2 linked regions of the Caenorhabditis elegans genome follow. The protein of the gene in region 2 interacts with the protein of the main gene of each other region in a pairwise test. Each region holds a gene or a part of one and is shown on either strand. Other genes may lie near its edges.

Evidence for each region. The genes of interacting proteins can lie anywhere in the genome.
Region 1: the proteins of lntl-1 (region 2) and C26C6.8 interact in a two-hybrid assay, tested with the Caenorhabditis elegans proteins (one large-scale study listed by BioGRID).

What each region holds. Positions count from the first base shown.
Region 1 is NC_003279.8:7,503,928-7,507,683, forward strand, and holds the start of C26C6.8 (SH3 domain-containing protein), read right to left. Parts: upstream 1,716-3,756; 5' UTR 1,654-1,715; coding exon 1,611-1,653; intron 1,538-1,610; coding exon 1,446-1,537; intron 1,392-1,445; coding exon 1,239-1,391; intron 871-1,238; coding exon 757-870; intron 709-756; coding exon 488-708; intron 1-487. Other genes in the region: C26C6.6 (LIM zinc-binding domain-containing protein), read left to right, coding at 2,045-2,110, 2,156-2,221, 2,282-2,381, 2,541-2,719.
Region 2 is NC_003282.8:5,805,093-5,808,848, forward strand, and holds the start of lntl-1 (LIN-24 (Twenty-four) Like), read right to left. Parts: upstream 2,002-3,756; 5' UTR 1,881-2,001; coding exon 1,874-1,880; intron 1,695-1,873; exon of another isoform or gene 1,673-1,694; intron 1,308-1,672; exon of another isoform or gene 1,287-1,307; intron 979-1,286; exon of another isoform or gene 958-978; intron 878-957; exon of another isoform or gene 857-877; intron 390-856; coding exon 289-389; intron 1-288.

The DNA.
Region 1 (3,756 bases), on a different chromosome or scaffold from region 2:
TTGATTTTTTATTACCCATACGCGAAACTTTGCAATTTTTGCGCCAAAAATATGGTACTCAATCTCGACACGACAATATTTTTTATCAAATGTAAACGGATGTGCGCCTTTAAAGGGTACTGTAGCTTCAAACTTTCGTTGTTGAGGAATTTGCATAGATTTTTCATAATTCTCCGTTAAAAAATGTATTTATTTATTTTAAAAAACCACAAAACACATATATTTTATTTTACTAATCGTGAGAAAAACTATGAGCACGAAAAGTTGTATTTACATTACAGTAGTCTTTAAAGGCGCACACGTTTTCACACTTAACAAAATTGTTATCGTGTCGAGACCGGGTACTGTATTTTTGGCGCAAAAATAACAAATTTTCGCGTCTTCTGAGTCTTTTAATTCTGAAAAAAAAAACAGAATAACACCCATGACCCATCTGAATAAGTCCGTACACCTTTAAGCGTTTCAGAAAACTGCGAACTTACGATACCATTTTTCTTTAATGACACGGCTAGCTTGTTGCAATATTTCATGTGGAATCTTAACATGGGAAGAAGGTACAAAACCAGATTGATTGTCCGAATTTCGAATATAGGTCCACTCAGGATCTGATATATTCAAAACTGTGACAGATTCTCCATCTTTCACAGATATATCATCTGGAGCTGATCCATCAAATGACTGTAGTATTTGAACTTCGCATATCTCATCCTGCAGATAGTATCAAAAGAATATTCAATAGCTTTATTCAAAACAAACCATTTTAAAAACCTCTCCTTCTTCTTTTTGAACAGGAAGACTGTCGATAAATCTCTGCAAATTTGATTTTTCCCAACGGCGATCAAGTGTCGCGCTGGATCCGATCACCTTTTTCTGAAAAGTATTTGATTTGATTTCTCAACGGTTCCATTCCCGAAATTCTTGGAGATCAAACCGAAATGGGACTCTCTGACATCACGTGGCTTCTAAGTTGTTCTCACTAAAGGTGACAATGATTTTCACCACTTTTCTTCGATTTTTCAATGACAAAACTATGAAATATCTATGAAATATTGGAAATAATTAGGAGTGTGGTTACAGTAATTCGCAAGGCGCACATTCTTTTGCGCATATTTCGGTCGTGTCGAGACCGGATACAGTAGTTTTAAATGAATATCATTAAATGCCACAATTACACGTGTTGTTGCATTCTTTAAGATTTGCACTAAAAATAACTTTTCTAGAACATCTAAAACGCTCACCTTTTCACCGTGTTTTGAATTCAAAAGCAATTTACAATATGTCTGTGGAACAAATCCTTTTCTTCCATCAGATACCTCAACATAAATCCATTGATCATCTCGATAAATTGCTTTAACTGTAGTGCCACGGGTTACACTAATTTCGTCAGCAACCTTAAAAGTGAGAGGTTAGAAATTGGGGTAATTTGGAAAAACTGAAAACTATACAGTTGCTGTGAAGTTTTTTGTTAGTTGTCCTGGAGTATAAGGATCAAAATGATCCACTTGCATACTGTCAACCCATCCACCATTATCGGGCACTGAAATTCATTTTTGGAGGTTTTATTTTTAATCAGCTAAAATTAGAAAAAAAATGGGACAAACTGTGCTCACCTCTTCCAGATACAACTTTCCAAAAAATGCTCCTAATGCCCATTGTTTTTGTGCGACGAAAAGCCAATGAATTGCTCACAAAACACGGTTAATCAACAGAGGCATGTCAAATTATTGTTTGTTCACCGAAAATTGGATCTGATTGGAAAAAAAGATGGAGTCTCGGGAGGGAAAGGCATGAAAGGCGGACAGTATTATTTGGCTTCAGTATAATGGCTTATTTTGCCCTAGAAATAAGGAATCTGTGATATTTTATGTATTTTGGAGATTACCATGCAGAGATGCATAAACTTTTGTATCTTGTTTGGAAGTTTTCAATTAAAAACCAATAAATTTTAATACCAGTTACGTGGCAACCGCTTACTAAATACAAATTCGGAGGCGAAGAATACAATTTTAATAAAAAATAATTTATTTCCAAATAAACTAGAAAAATGACTATTGAGTTTATCAATTGTGCAGGATGTAAAGCCAAAATCGCCGAGGAGGATGTCGAAAAGGTAAATCCACAATTGGTGTATTTCCTTTAAAAAAGTAATTTTTAGAACAAAGTTGTCTTCTTTCTGAATCGAATGTGGCATCGGGATCATATTCAATGCATTTTTTGTAAAGTTAGTTTTGGAAGCGTTCGGAAAAAAGCACTTCCAAAATTTCAAAATATCCAATTTTAGCTTCAAATCTCGGACAATCGTTATTTCCGTTCATCAATTGATCCAATGAAACCATCATGTTATGCATGTCATATTCAAACAAATCATCCATCTTGCACAGGTATTTTTAGTTCTTCGAAGTACTGATTAGTAGAAATTAAAAATTGAATGATATGGCTTGTGAATTCGGTTTTGCACGGGTTATACGAACTTTGATTACTCAGCTACATATAGGAAAGATTAGAGCCCCTTACGATTACTTAAAAAACAAATTTTACAGGATGCTCATTGCCAGTAATTGAACGAGGACTTGTTGCATTTAATCGTCTCTTTCATATTGATTGTTTCCGTTGTGCAATCTGTAACAAGACAATTCCTCAAAGAAAAGGATTTTATGAACGTGATATGATGTTTTATGATGACGTTTGTTATATGCTTCATATCAAAGATGTTCTATAACATATTGAACTTATTTGAAAAAATAATGAATAGATTTTGAACGGTTTAAAGTGTATTTTTGTGGGTTAACTATAATTTCTAAGATACTGATTTTTGAGAGATTTCAAGACAAATAGGGAGTAAAGTAGTCCCTTTCGGAACAATTTTTCTGTGATTTCTCTTGTTCACTGACAAAAACTGAACAATTTCAGTGTTTCATCTAATTAAAACATTTTTTTATCAGAAACATTGGACTTTTTTAAAATTTATAACACGATTTTTGAAATTTTACACATTTTGAAAAATGCAATTTCTGAATCCAGAGTTTTGTCAATTTTTCAATCAATTTATAGAACTTGCAAAAGTGAAACAATAATTATAATATTTGAAACATCACAATCATAATGAGCATCCTTCTGTTCTTTCATCATTTAACCTCCTCCATTCAAGTAGTAAAGTGTGCATCTAGTAACTTCACACCACAAAATGTTTCTGTGGGAGAAGAGCTACGGGATGGATGAGATGTGTCACCTGTGTCAGATCAAAATGACGTCATATAGATCTTAGTTTTCTTTTTCGAGTAACTACGTACTCGAAAATGTTTTGTGACTTTTTAAACATGTCAGTGTCAATCTTTTAATAATTTTTTTTTGTTTTTTGTTTCTGTCTGATTTTTTTTTGTGTAATAGTCTTGAAATCTTTTTGAAATCTAAAAGTCTTCTCAAGTCTCAATTCACTATTTCAATATTTGTCATTTTTACGTTTTTACAGAGAAACTAAACATTTAACTTTTGTTTCAGATGAAGTTTTGGCATATTTCCAATTTTCCTTGCAAAATTTTTTTTAAATATTGAACACTGTTGAGTGAGGAAATGTTAAACTACACAACATTGAAATTTTTAAACACAATTAACTAAATATTATTAAACCCAAAAACGTAGGAAATTTTGTTTTTTTTTCGGGCTACTTCCGCAATTATAATCGACTGTAAATAAAAAAGAATTCTAAAATTTTTTGCCATGCTTTGCTTCAAATAGGAGTGATTCCGAACATTCCAC
Region 2 (3,756 bases):
AATAACACAAATTCGCTTGTTTACAGAATCCCACAAAAGTATACGTAAAAAATAAAAACTATCTTCACAAAGTTATAAACTTTAATTAAATAGTGTTGATACAATATTTATAACACATTTCAAGTGTTCAAATTTTCAGCACAAGCTGTATTCTTCCGTTCACTTAAAGAAAAAAATATATGCATGAATTAATGAAAGCTTAAAAAATCGCTGAAACTGTGAAGAAATTTTAGGTTTCGCTATTTTTAATATATATTTTCAAATTAAGAATTAAATTCAAATACTTACATTTCCTTTCACAAAGCTTTGTGGCTCATTTGCTCTGTTCGATTTCAGCATTTTCTCCTGTTCTGGACTAAAAGCCGGTGATTTCTGTGGAGATATGCAACCTGGAATTTATTGATCATTAAGTTTTCAGAATAGATGAGTCAGAAACATATTTCAAAATATTCTGAGTCTCTCTTCTCTCTTCATTTTTCAACCGAATCAATAGTAAATTGCGCGTTGCAATTCTGCGTCTAAATTTTTTGAGCGCTATTTCACTAGAATGCACGAGAAGACGGAAAAACGTCGCCGCTCTTCTCTGGCTCCCCTCAACTACCGTAATCCACGTTTATTTTTCTCTGCGTCTCAGAATCTCTAGTTCAGAGGATTCAGGCACATGAAAACGTGGGAAACAAAATCGGAAATGTATATGTGAAACATGGAAAAGGAGAGAATTTCGGAATAATTAGAACTGGGACTGGAGAGAGAGAGAAAGGTGAAGGCTACAATTAGGCAGGTATTCAGGTAAAGAAGAAGAAGTAAGTGAAAGTTTCCTATTTGAGAGAAGGGAGAACTTATATTTCTTACTAAAGCTTTTGAAAATAGTACGGTAATATATATTTTTCTCAGCAAATGAAATAAAATTTCAGTGAAACAGAAATTTTTTTAAATTCCGCTCACTTTTTTCAACGTTTTTCAAATATTTGTTTCCAAACATTTAAAATTGTTGTTATGGTAATTGAATTTTTTCTGAAACTGTAGAAAATGTATTATAAAAAGCAACTCACTTTCATCACTCATCATAGCAAAAATTTTTGCGTTTCTTATGAAAAGCTCTGCTCATTTTAACCTATACTGTTTGTTTAGTTTTTTTCACGGTTTTTTTTGTTTTAAAGTTAAAGCCAGCAATACTGTTGTGAAATTTTCCAACTTTCCTAGAAGACATCATAATGTGAAATTTTTCGAAAAAAAATTACAGTTTCATTCATAGAATATCATTTTATTTTTTGAAATTAATTCAATCATCTCGATGTGTGGGATCGACTGGCCGAAAAATTTCAAGAACATTTTGAAAACTTCAAAACCTTCCTCTTCACTTCCACTTTTGTTTAACGTTGTTTATAAATCAGATTACTGTACTCTGATAGAAAACGACACAGAGAGAGAGAGAGAGTATAAGAAAGAAGAGACGCAAAGAAATATTGCGAGGGATTTGGCACGGTACAATTGCAACGCGGTTCGGTTTGCCCTCTCACAAACAATTGAATTTATAAGCTCATGCCGAGAGAGAATAGAGACACACAAATCACTTTTTAAATCAATTTTTTGAAATTCCAATGATGATTCATGATTACACTATCCACTGTTTCATGATGTTTATAAAAACTCGTAGGTTTTATTTAACATATTGAGTAGTTGATGTAAAAAGTTTCTGCAGTTGAATAAAAGAAAATTACACCAATTGAGTATTATATATTTAGGTTAGTTGAGACGTTAAAAAAAGTTCTGCTCCAAATAAAACATTTTTTGGTTAAAATTTCAATGAATGCAGACACTGTGCGCTTAATTCACATAAAAAAAATTTTAAATTTAAAATCAACAAACTTACTAAACATTTTTTTATCGAAATTGATTTCCAAAAAAAATTCGATGATTCAGACGGGCAATCGGGGGACACACAAACAGGAGGAGTCTCTGTGAATCGAAGCCCTCCGCCGGGTTTCACATGACGACTCCGCCTACTTTGTATGCCTGCCAGCCAATCGTCGATGACTTCTTTGCCTCTTCTTCTCTTACTTATTTTCATTTTTCCAGGGATTCAAGCTGCTCGAGGGGGCGATGTTTTTATTTTCCCTGTAGAATTGATTGAGATGTATTTTTAAAAAATTAATAGTAAAAAAGAGGAATTACTAATACATACTTTAACCAATATTCGAAAAGCTAAGTGAATATAATTTTCGTATTTTTTTTTACTGTTTCAAAATTAGAATATAATTGAAGTAATTTTTGAGAAAATAATTCGATTTTTGTAATCATAATGAGTAATGCTCAACAACAAGTCGTTTTGTATTTAAAATAATTTCTGAAATATTAGCTAAAGTGAATCCATCAGCGATTGAGAACGGAAAAAAAACAATTCGAACTATTTTCGGAATTTTTTTTGCTGTTTCAGATGTTAAACTAAAACCATTAAAACAAATGCCAAGTTTGATAATTTCTTGTAAACACTTTTCATATGTTTCTAATACGTTTCTAATATATATTTAAAAATATGTATTGGTAAGCAAATAATAGTTTGGGGAATTTCCTTCATTCGAGTTTGGCCAAAGTTTTTTACCGAAAAATCGATTTTCGTAATCTTTAGTTCAATTGTAAGATTTTTGACATACTACATTGTTTTTATTTATCAATGAAAAATTATTACAAAAATTGGTTTTTATAAATTGTCGTTTTGTTTTCATATATTATAGGTCTTACGTCCCACAAGTCCTGAAAAAATTAGGAGAACACGGCGAACAAGATGTATTTTAAGCTCTTTCCGGAAAGGTTTGAGTTTTAATTTTTATAGTTTAAAAGTTCATTCAACCACTTTATGAAACATTTGAATTTTTGAATGTGTTTTTTTGAAAACTTTCTGAAACCTTCTAAACTATATTTGCGAGGAATTTTTTTTTACAATCTATCCCTTCACACTTTTTACTGTCACCACACACCCAAAAAACCGTGAAATTTATGAGTCAGAACACAACGACGGAAACATGGAATGGGACAAGGACACCAACGAACACGCAATCCTGAAAAAAGTTAAAAGTAATATCTTCAGAACCTCCCTGAAATTTATAAAGAAACTGAAACATGATATGTGATAACTTTGCAAAACAATGTGAAAATTTTAAAACAAAAATACGAAAAACCAAAAAAAAAGAGTGAAAAAATAGTGGAAAGATTATTCAAGCTTTGAAAAAATGAAGCGTATTCATGAAATTTATAAAACGGTCAAAAACTTTAACCAACGTTTTATTTCAATAATGCCTAAAAGCATCGAAAAGTTATCCATTTTTTAATTTACATTTCAAACGTATTCTTCAAAAAAAATTTCTTAACGTGTGTAGCTCATTAAATGGTTACTGAAAAGTGACCTATCATGTCTTGGAAGGGTTTCAATCAAAAATATCAAGAACATTTCTACTAGAAAAAAGTGAAAATTATGGCCCAAATTAATTTAAACATATTTATGAAAATAGTGAAACGGTAATTTTTTCGACCAATTTTTTGTTTCAGTGGCGCCAGGATATTTCAGACTCACAAAAAAATGACCCAACATCAGGAACACCTTTGGAGTTTCATTTGAAGTTTTTTTTGACATTTGACAACATCCATAGACAATCATTTGATTAGCGACATTGGCATATATCAAGAACCTGAAAACTGTCATGTTAAACACTGAAAAAATAGTTGGCCTAACCATCCTGAATTTTATCAAAAACCTGA